3 linked regions of the Macaca mulatta genome follow. The protein of the gene in region 2 interacts with the protein of the main gene of each other region in a pairwise test. Links are inferred from orthologs where the notes say so. Each region holds a gene or a part of one and is shown on either strand. Other genes may lie near its edges.

Region 1 (4,307 bases), on a different chromosome or scaffold from region 2:
TAGCCAGCATGGTGATATGGAAAGAGAACTGGTCTGAGTGGCCACTAAGGGGATCTGGGTTCAGATCCCATCTTTTCTAGGTCTCAGTCTTCTGTCTGTGTAGTGAGGAGTTTGGAATAATCTATAAGATTCCTTCCATATTCGAAGGAAAACTTCCTTTCTCTTAGTAACAGCTAGAAAATCATTGAGGTTTTGTGTGAAGACTAGGTAAAGTGGGGAGTTGTGGGGAGGTTTTTTGCTTTAGTAAACAGTTTGTTTTCTTTTGCAACTGGGCTCTGGGATCATTGCTCTGAGCAGTATCTCCTATTGAGCATAACAGATCCACTAGTTAAGAAGCCCTAATGGAGTACCCACTCTGGGTAGGACACAATGCCAAGCATTTCCACGGAACATAGTGGACACATCCCTGCTGTCAACATGCTCACAACCTCAGTAGGAAGACACAGATGGTTTGCTGGCCAACGTCATCTCAGCATACCCTGGTTTTTGCCAACACTGTTCCTTTCCAGGCCAGACTAATGGGCCCTCTAAGGGTTACACAATCTTGGAAGATTTTAACCTCACAAGGCCCGTAGACAGCAGAGGTGGCCTGGAGAAGCCAGGGAAGGCTTCCTGGACCAGATGAGGCTGTAGCCGAGTGATTTAATAGAATTGGAATAACACCAGAGAAAGAGAGAAGAGTGGGCACAACAGCCTTGCAGAAGAAGAGAGGACAGATATGTCTGTGTGTGTGTCAAAAGGATTGGCCTGTGTACTTGGCATATAATAAACTTTCAGTAAATATTTGGTGACTGATGGATGAATGAATGCTATAAGATAGCTGTAGAAGATATGTGTATATTGCCTAAGTTTGAACTGATATAGGTGTTAGCTTTGGAATTATTTTTATTTGTTTTATTTTAAGTTTTTTAGAGATAGGGTCTCCCTTTGTTGCCCAGGCTGGAGTACAATGGTGTGATCATAGCTTATTGCCGCTTTAAACTCCTGTGTTCAAGTAATCCTCCCATCTTTGCCTCCTGATTAGTTAGGACTACAGGTGTGCACCACCATGCCTGGCTAGTTTGTAAAGTTTTTGATAGAGACAGGGACTTGTCTCTATCAAAAAACTGGTCTCGAACTCCTGGCCTCAAGTGATCCTCCTGTCTTGGCCTTCCAAAGTGCTGGGATTACAGGTATGAGCCAACATGCCCAGCCTGGAATTGTTTTTAAAAATTATTTTTCTCTCTCTTACAAGTCAAGTGCAGAACAAAAAGAGCTAAACAAACAAAAACACAACAGCAAAAATCTCTGAATAAGTAGCTGTTGGCAACTTTACTATAAGAAGCTCTTAGCAACTTTACTATATGACTGAGGAAGAAGGACTTAATTTAGATCACTTTTAGCGACCTTGAGCCCACCCACCCTCCTTGTCCAGAGAGGGTCCCGGAGCACAGAGCAGTATGTCCCTTGACATGGCCCACCTGCTCTCTGGGAGAAGAGATCCTGCTGGCACAAGACAAAGGTTCCTTGAGGACAGTCACCTGGCCTGGCCGCCTGGAGGGCCCTTGCTCCCTGGCCTGGGGACGGTGCGCCTTGCCTTTCTCCTCTAGCTCCAGGTTCCTCCTCCTGAAGAACTGCTGCAGTCGAGCTCTCTGGAGCTGCTCTCTCTGCTGGATCCTCAGCGTCTTCCCCACCTGGCGGCAAGTGGTCACATTGGGACGGCAGCGGCGGCTTTCACGGGTCTCTTGCCTGCGCTCACACTTGGCCTCATAGCTCTCAGCCCACCGGGCCAAGCCAGGGGAGGGCCTGGGGTCTGGGCTGATCATGATGACCTCCAAGCACCTGTTGCGCTTGGCTTCCCGTTCCTGGAATAGATGCCTGGATCTGCCAAATGCCAAGAGGGAGGAGAAGGGGAGGGGTCAGAAGATGGGCAGAAAAATGACTATCTCCCTAGACCACGGGGCAGAAATAGCACAGAGTTCCATCCATGTGGGTTGAAAACTGAGGACATGGTGGTATCAAACTGGGAGTCAGGACTCTTGGGCTCAGTCTCTAATGAATGAATACAACCTTGTAACAGCGATTTCCTGCTCTTCTCTAGCTGATGTTTCCCCTTTGTAAAGTAAAACGGTCTCTATGGCTGCCACTTACTCCTTGACTGAACATCTTACCATGCCTCTAAGTCAGGGGAACATGATAAATAATTGATTAAAATAATAATGAGCTTATAGCCTCTTGGATGGCAGGTGTGTGTTCATTTTCCAGACTTCTAGAGAAACAGCCTAGTGAGCCCCTCTGCCCTCTTATCCCCCAGCTGAAAAAGAAAGTCAGTATCTTTACTGCTGTCTTGGTCCAAGCTGTTACTAACATAGTTGAGTGACACTTCTCAAGATCTGGAGGGCTAACCACACCCCACTCAGGTGGTGACCAGTCCTGTGACCAGCACCCGCTGCTCTCTTCTTGACTTTTAGCAACTAACTTATGAGTCTGGACCTGGCATGGTTTAGGAGGAAACCCTACCCTAATTCCTCCAACCTGCTGTGCTGACAATGGTCCATGGGCCCCCCACTCCAAGCTCAGGACTCGGCCGTGTCTCTCAGGTGCAGATCAAGTTCAATCAGTATTGACTGAGCATCTGCCACATGCCTAGTGCTGGCCTAAACCCATTTCAGAGCATCTGGCTCCAATACTCTTGGAGATGAGGGTTCCATTTCTTTAGGATCACCTTCTTGTCAGGGCTAATTCTGGTGCCAAGTCTGCTTTCCTTTGCCAAGACACAGATTGTGCCATCCAAACCCACAAGCACATGAATTAGACCTTAATAAGGCTGCTGCAAACAGAAAAGAAACAAAACAAAAATAGTAATCAGAAGTTTCCAGGGAGCCAGGCTTGGTGTAGGGGCCACAGGATGTCCCTCTGCATGGCTTTACCTGGTATTCACATAGCACTCAGACCCAAATCCCCTTTTCCTTCTCTGTGCCTTTCTCTTTCCTACTCTTCCCCACCTACCTTCTGCAGTTTATCCTACTAGAACCCTCTGGTCACTTTGCTGAGTTGGGCTGGACTTGGATTAGCTGGATCCTGAGCGTTGGAAATTCTGTGTCCTGCCTCCTCTGATCACTGGAGTCAGACCAGGGACTGATGAAGGAAGAGGGACTCCCCCTCACAGCTGCTGCTGCTTCTCTTCCTCCCACGACCTCATTACCCACCACCCTGGGAGGAGGGTATCTCAGCTTCACCAACCAGCAGGCGTTTGCTAGCTGTAACCCCTCGGGGTTTATTTATAGGCCAAACAGACTCAACAGGTAGCAGAGTCTCTGCCCCTATACTGGGACTTCGCTATCCTGGCTCAGTCTGGAATTCTCTGCAGGATTCTTGTTTTCTCTCTGATCCTACCACTCATTCCCCAGGGTCATGGGTGGTACAGTCTTCTTCCCTGAGAGGAGTTTTGGGTGGTCAAGCCCTGAACACTCAAATGCCTGACTCTTGAGGGTTGGAGGAGCGTACTCTGGTGTCAGGCAGCATTGATTCCAAACAGAAATGTGAGGTTGTTAATGTTTGTCCCCTACATACCCATTCTGAATGGCTCTCTTCTTTCTTTAGGTGTTTCTACTTACTCCTTCTTGGATAAGGGTGGGAGTGGGCATAGGGGATGGTCCCTTGACTTTCTCCCTGCCACTTTCTTTATTTAGAGACTTAAAAAAAAGGGTCTGGGCCAGGCGCGGTGGCTCAAGCCTGTAATCCCAGCACTTTGGGAGGCCGAGACGGGCGGATCACGAGGTCAGGAGATCGAGACCATCCTGGCTAACATGGTGAAACCCCATGTCTACTAAAAAATACAGAAAAAAAACTAGCCGGGCGAAGTGGCGGGTGCCTGTAGTCCCAGCTAGTCGGGAGGCTGAGGCAGGAGAATGGCGTGAACCCGAGAGGAGGAGCTTGCAGTGAGCTGAGATCCGGCCACTGCACTCCAGCCTGGGTGACAGAGCAAGACTCCGTCTCAAAAAAAAAAAAAAAAAAAAAAGGGTCTGACAGACCCATGTCTGTTGTTATAAATGACTGAATGGAAGAGACCCAGGATTATGTGCATGTGAACTCCATCTCTGGAACCTACACTCACAGCATCCCTGAGTCACAGCCCCTGGCTATTCTGCCATGGATTGCAGTGGAGAACCCTGGCTCTTGGAGTCACACTGTGTGGACTCATATCCTGGCTCTGTCACCTACTACCTGTGTGTGGTTTTAGGTAAGCTATTAAACATCTCTAAGCCCCAGTCTCTTCATTTATAAAATGGGGCTAGATTGGCTGGGCGCGGTGGCTCACGCCTGCA
Region 2 (2,367 bases):
GTACATGTTTCCTCCCTCTGGAATTCAATTTCCTCTTGTGCAAATGAGAATGTTTCTGGTCCCTTTCAGGAGATTTCCTCTGATTGCATCCCTGCAACACAGTCCAGACATGCTCCCAGAACCACACACCCACAAGCACCCATTTGCATCAGCCCAACAGGAAGAACTTTGCAAAGCTGGGGCTGGGGACAGTGAGGCGGGGAAGGTGAAAGGGAGGAGGAAACCAGGGCACCTGGGGCAATGGCAGAGGCTCAGTCCCAGCCACAAGGTCTTTGTGAAGAGGCGCTGTTGTTCCTCAGTGCACCCCAACCCCACTGTTGCCCCAAATGAGTGCTGGACACAGGAACCTCAGCCACAGAGTTTTGCTGCTATGGCGGAACTTTTATTGAGCATGATGTTTGCGCAGAGCGTTGTGCACGAGGTGGAAGCAAACGAGGGAGGAAAACAAAGCCACACCCCTGCCCACAGAGGATGGAACAGAAGGGCCGCTGAGGTCAGGAAGGCAAGGTTGCCACTAGGTGTTACTGTGGCGTCCAGATGCCGCCATGCTCTTCACCCTTCAAAGGATGGCATCTCAGCCCATGCAGTCCTCCTCCACCTTCGCAGCAGCCAGGACCTCCCAATGCAGTGACCTGACCTCCCCAGGTAGGAGGCCTAACCAGAGCTGAAAATGACCCTGACGCTGCCTGAGGGCTGCTGGGAGATAAAAGGGGGATGGGCAATGGCGGCCCAGGGAAAGAGGAAAGAAAGAAGGGGAAGCAGGGAGGGCTCCAATACGGAGGCCGCGCGGGGGCGATCACTGGTTCATCCACAGCCACAGGTTGGCTATGCTGGCTGACACCAGCACGGCGATGATCAGGGTCTCCCTCTGGCGCCAGGTGGCGCCCTGCTCCTCCAGGGCGCGCAGACGCCGGTTGACTGCATATAGCTGCAGAGGAGCCAAAGGGAGGACTACTGAGCCAGGCTCTTCTCCAGAAGCCCACAGCTCAGCCATCGGAAAAGCATAAAGTTAAAGCAAGAAGGGGCTTGATTGCCCTTTGGCGGTGGAGCGGGGAGTGCCCCTAGTGAGAAGCAGGGGGCTGGGCCAGGTCCGCTGGACCAAAGACTTGGCTGCTGCGTCTGCAGTCGCTACTTCTGCCTTCTCCCTTGATGCTCACTTCCATTCTCTGGAAGAGGCCAGCCCATTCCAGCTGCTCCGGGGGGCCAAGGGAGGAAGGGTCTCCTCCTGAGAAGGTCTGGGTTTGATTTGAACAAAGGCGACCCCTCTCTCAGACTGTTGGGTATCACTCTCTCTCTGGACATAGAACACTTATCCTTGTATGTTCCCTCTTCCTTTACCTTTTATCGGCCCCTATTCCCTGCCAGCATCTCAGGGACAGCAGTAGGTTTGAGATTGGACATCTACCTGGGTCAGAGCCATGGGGATGAGGAGGAAAAGGAAGGGAATCTGCCCTACCTCCAGCGCTAAAGGGAAAGATGACTGTAAGGGGCTACAAGACCCCAGATGTTGAGCCCTGACTACTCCAAGGCATTGTGATTCTGCTTGCACCCACCAATTGGGTCCCTCCTCACCTGTCTTCTCATGACTTCCATCTCCAGTACATTGAGCTCTTCCAGGCTAGTCTGTGCCACTGCATCTGTACCTGGGTTGCTGGGAGAGAAAAAAGACAGAGGGTCAAAGCTGCTGGTGGCCCCGGCAGGACCTGGCAGTGAGCACAAGAAGGCAATGAGGTCAAGCAGGTAAGGTCAGGAACTTCTTGGACAGTGACTATGAGCCTCCAGTCCTCTCCCATGGTAAAGAGGGCCTAGGGCCTTGAGGACTGGGAGTCAGCCTGAGCTAGCCTGAGCCAGCCTGGCCCAGCCTGGCCCAGCCCAACTCGGCTAGCCCACAGAGCACTGGGATGCCCCAAATGGGCAGGGAGCCAGGGTGCTCATGGTCTCTGACAGGGAGGCATTCCAGGCCCTCATGACTCCGTCCTGGCCAAGCTGCTCACCAGCCCCTCCGCCCCACTCTGGGCCCTGTCTGAGCAGCCAGGGCCCACAGACCCTCAGCTCTTACCGATCATAATGGAAACGCATGCCTTGGAAATTGCCAGGGTACTCCTGGAGATGGGCATCCCCATGGCCTGATTCTCTCAGCATTCTGGGCATTGGCAGCTGGGACCCCTGAAGAAAGGAATGATCAGTAAAGTAGCCTGCCCAGCCCCACGTGAGTGGCTTCCCCAGTTTGCCCAGAACCAATGGTGCACCCCATGGGGAGTCACATGGTGCCTGGTCTCTGGAATCAAGGGCTGGCAGCTTCAGGCCTCTAGGAAAGCTTGGGAACTCCACACAGGCTGCTGGCCACCACCCCACCCGCACCATGCT
Region 3 (4,218 bases), on a different chromosome or scaffold from region 2:
CCAATTTCCTACATGAAAGTTGAAGCATTGCTTCTTTTTTTGTTCTCTTCTGTGGGATTTTTCCATTGTCCTCCCAAATGTGACAGTTTGCAAATACCCACATCTAGAAGCATATTCTATGAGAGAAAAGACGCCAATTTTAAAACTTGAGAAAGTACTTTAATTCTGTAGGCAAAGGTTCATCAAATCAGCTAGCACTAATCTTGACCAAATGGGTGAGTCAGCCTTGTCACTGAGAATTTTTTTTTTTTAATTTAGATGAAATTTCACATTTAAAAACATGGTAACTCCAAGCATTCTACCAAGAACAAAGAATAAGCATTGAAATAGTCACTTACAAGGACTTAACGACTTATATTAAACATATTTTACACTAAAGTACTAGATGGTCTCTCTAGTTCCTTTTAGCTCAAACCTTCCTTAATTCTTCGAGTAACTTCACCAGACTATTCTTTAAGTTTTAGTAATTACAAACAGAACCTGAATGAGAAAAACAATTCAGAATTAAAGTTGTTATCAGTAAGCCTAATTAAACAGTACAGACAGAAAGATGGCAGTAGAATAAAGCATTCTATATTAAGAGAAGGGAGAATATAATCAGTAGTTCGCAGCCTCATGAATGAAGCACAGCATACAACAAAGTCTGGCTGGGATTTGGGTAACTAACGTACCTAAACAGGGACAGACTGAGGCCCCTATTAATGGGATACTCTACTTGAAGTAACCAACCATACTCAGGAAAACATGTCAACCAGAGAGTGAATCCTCTAATTTTAGTGGGTCGTCTCCCTTACTGGCAGTTTTCCTACTTTCTATCTTAAAAGGGAATCCACACACTCAACACCGCAAAATGGTAAGACATCTCATCTCACCCCTGTATCGTGGGTCTGGCACTTCTGGGTCGCACAAAAGCCATCGTTCTAACTAGTGTGGGATTTATGCCCCCCATTCAGTGAAGGGCTGTCTGTGGCTGTTTGCAGGGTGCAGGCTCCCTACGTTGACTCTCGCTTCCTGTCACACAGTGGTATCACCGTGACGGACCCTTGACATGAACAAGTCTTTGACTGAAAAACTGATATGATCTGCAGCCAGTGAGGGGAAGCGTGGTGGCCCGGCGGAGTACCTCGGCAGGGTCAGCAGGGTGACACTGCGGGAAGGCACCTCTGCGGCCCCGAGCGAGGTGAGCAAGCCTTTCCTGAAGTTTTCCTTCCTTCCACAACATTAACCTGCCAAGCCTCCCACCCCCACCCCGCCCTATTAGGAAAAGTCACGCCGGCAGCTCACTGAAGGGCAGGGGGACAGCTCCTGGCGCCCCACAAAAGTTGGGCTCGGCGGCTGCCACAGCTTAAAGCTCCTGCAGGACAGTCGGCCCGACACCGCCTCCTCCGGGGGCAAACCTGAGCTGCCAACTTTCCCACTGCCCACTCCTCTGCGCACAGCAGCCCAAACTTTGCGGTTCGCCCACCGGCCGCACCCCGGGCGAGCGGCGGCGGCGCTGACCTTCACGCCAGCTCCGGGTCCCGCACTGGCCGCCGCCCGCCCCCCGAACCTCCCTGCCTCCCCTAGATCCCTCTGCCTGCCTCCCCCAACCCTCGTGGGAAGCCCGCGGTGTGGGGGGTGACGGCAGCAGCCCGATCCCGCGTATCACGACTGCCCACGACCCTCGGGGCTCCGGAGAGCCTGGGTCCCGGCGCCTCGGCTGCCCACTCACCATTGGTGAAGGGCTCCATTTTCCCCCCGCCGCGGCTCCTCACAGCCCGAGCGCCCGAGCTTCCTACTCCGAAAGCTGAGGCGGCCCAGCCGACTGAGCATGCCCAGCGCGGCCTCCAGGGGCTGCCAGGGAGGTGCCGCGAGGGGCGGCGCCGCTCCGCCGCTCGGTGGCTCCGCCGTTCCGGGTTTTCGTGGCGGCTGCAGAAAGAGCGAGGGAAGCAAGAGGGAAATGCACAGTCTAACCCCCGGCGGCTCAGCGGAGAGGCGAGGTGGGAGCGGGTGCGCGCTGGGGCGGGGCCTGGGCGGGGCCGGGAAAGCCCCGCCCCGTCACTGCCTGAAGTGGACCTGGCTGCGGCGCTCTCCCTGGCCGGGAACCGTGTTCAGTCACTCAACAATTGTGGAGCCCTACTGCGACCCGCCCGATTCTGGACGCCGAGACACCCGCACTGCGCCAGAAAACATGGTCCCAGTCCCAGGTGCGGACATTCCAGAAACAGACCATAAATAAACACAGAAGACACACGAGTGTAAAGTCAGTGCCCCGCTGCGCATTAAATCGGGGTGACGTGATGGCGAGTGAGTGGGTAGCTAATTCGGATGGCTTGGTGGGACACGGCCTCGCTGAGCAGGTGCCACTGAAGCCGAGGTCTGAAGGCAGAGCAGGAACCTGCGGGCGAAGGTCGCTATCCGAACTGCGAATCGCCGGTTTCCCTGGGGAGGTTGGCCGCCGAGGGATCACTTTTCGAAGGACCGAGGGAACGGGCGCTGTAGGTCTTTTCGGCAGGGATGCCCTCCCGCATCATAGTGCCCCGGGAGGGCGGTGAGGAGGAGACGGAAGAGAGGGCAGGGACCCCGCAGGGCCGAGGGCTCCCCGGGGTCCAGGGCCGAGGGCGCCCTGGGGTCCAGTCCCGGGGCTGGCGGCTGCGGGCGCGGCCTCTAGGTGCGGGCGGATAACAAAACCCGGCGCCGGATCGCCCGGGCCGGATCACAGGCGCCGCAGGATGTGGGCAGAAGGCCTGCCTGTTCCAAGCCTTAAATCAACACCTGCGGTTCCCGGGGGTGCCACCGCTGGGGCTCGCAGCAAGGCTCCGCGGCGCTAGGCCCGAGAAACCGAAACTCCCCTAGTCGCCCCTGCCCCCCAGCTCTCGCGCAATTGCCTCCAGCCCCGAGCCACCATTGTTTCCAGTGCCAAATCGGGCAGCCCCGCTAGCCTCCGGGGCCGAACCGCCAGGGGCCCCGTGAGCCCCCAGGAGGCTCTTCGGGGAAGGCTTCCTTTTCCCCCTCTCGGTCTGCGCATCGCCACCACCCTCGCTGCAGAGGCCGCCGCCCTCCCAGCGCGCCACCACCGCTTCCTCTGCCTCTTCCCCTCCCTCAGCCCCGGCCCCTGCATTGACTTGGCTCGGGCTGCGCCTCACTGCGCCTGCCAACTGTCACACGCTCCGAGGCTGTCAACAGCGGGGCGCCAGGGACAAACAAGCCGCGGCGAGCGCAAACAGCCTGCGCAAACAGGGACGGCCAGGGTGTTGTTTGACCAGCACTGGAATTGGAAACTAGGTTTCGAAGAAGTCAAATCGAAGTACAATATTGTATTTTAAACTGTCTGTTGTTATTACATCCCTCACAATCCACGCTCTACTTGAAACTTCCAGTGCATACCAACTGCACTTAGAAAAAAAAAAAATGAAACTCCTTGCCTAACTCTGGGACCTCATCAGCACATTCTCACCATGTTTTGGTCACAGAGGCCTTCATGCTGTTCCTGGAAGTCGCCAAGTTCCATCCATCATTGTTAATCATTCCTTTTGCTCGCTCTTCGCACAAGAGCCGTTTCTTTTGCTTAGTACTTTGCCTACTGATTCCATCTTGTCATTTAAGTCTCAGCTCAGATGTCACCTCTGCAAAGAACCCTTGTCTGACCATACATCTAAAATAGCCACACTCTATAAAGACTTGGCCTTGCTTTATTTCCTTCTCAGCCCTCATCACTGTCTGAAACAACGTTGTGGATTTGTTGTTTATTATCAGTCTCCCTCTCAAGAATGCAAGCTTTGTGAGGGCAGGGTCGTAATCCTTTTTAAAGCTGTATCCCCAATGCGTGGGTAAGTATACAATAAATAATTTTTGCGTGAATAAGTGAAGGACGTAGTGGTGTTTAGAGTTCACTTCCACTGCTGCAAGCCCTTCCAGTTAATGACTCCATACTGAATGATGTGTTTGATCAGTACAGAGAAGGTTTCTGTATCATATGATATGTCAGAGTTGCTGTCTTCCTAATGTGTGAAAGGTAATCAGAGCCCTTAGGCTGGCCCCTTGTGCTGGCATTTCAGAACCAAAAATAGTGAACCACAGGGGCTGATGTATCCCAGTTCAGATATTATACAGTATATGCAGAGCTAGATTTTGTTAACATACTTCACACATTGTATTGCTTAAATAAGATGCTCTTCTCTATATTTTAGGTCATGTCATATTCTCTTGGAGTTATTTTTGCAACCAAACCACTTAGTA

What was found. The genes of interacting proteins can lie anywhere in the genome.
Region 1: the proteins of FATE1 (region 2) and TRAF3IP3 interact in binary tests that used the Homo sapiens proteins (3 or more experiments, as listed by UniProt). The two-hybrid records come from large-scale screens. The link is inferred for Macaca mulatta from reciprocal best matches to the Homo sapiens genes FATE1 and TRAF3IP3.
Region 3: the proteins of FATE1 (region 2) and LNPEP interact in binary tests that used the Homo sapiens proteins (3 or more experiments, as listed by UniProt). The two-hybrid records come from large-scale screens. The link is inferred for Macaca mulatta from reciprocal best matches to the Homo sapiens genes FATE1 and LNPEP.

What each region holds. Positions count from the first base shown.
Region 1 is NC_133406.1:67,512,565-67,516,871, reverse strand, and holds the start of TRAF3IP3 (TRAF3-interacting JNK-activating modulator), read right to left. Parts: upstream 2,810-4,307; 5' UTR 2,705-2,809; intron 1,864-2,704; coding exon of another isoform or gene 1,806-1,863; coding exon 1,461-1,805; intron 1-1,460. UniProt on the Homo sapiens protein: Adapter protein that plays essential roles in both innate and adaptive immunity. Plays a crucial role in the regulation of thymocyte development.
Region 2 is NC_133426.1:157,958,342-157,960,708, reverse strand, and holds the end of FATE1 (fetal and adult testis-expressed transcript protein), read right to left. Parts: intron 2,167-2,367; coding exon 2,060-2,166; intron 1,652-2,059; coding exon 1,573-1,651; intron 929-1,572; coding exon 797-928; 3' UTR 540-796; downstream 1-539. UniProt on the Homo sapiens protein: Involved in the regulation of endoplasmic reticulum (ER)-mitochondria coupling. Negatively regulates the ER-mitochondria distance and Ca(2+) transfer from ER to mitochondria possibly implicating it in the regulation of apoptosis.
Region 3 is NC_133411.1:103,290,556-103,294,773, reverse strand, and holds the start of LNPEP (leucyl-cystinyl aminopeptidase), read right to left. Parts: upstream 2,810-4,218; 5' UTR 1,731-2,809; coding exon 1,712-1,730; intron 1-1,711. UniProt on the Homo sapiens protein: Release of an N-terminal amino acid, cleaves before cysteine, leucine as well as other amino acids. Degrades peptide hormones such as oxytocin, vasopressin and angiotensin III, and plays a role in maintaining homeostasis during pregnancy.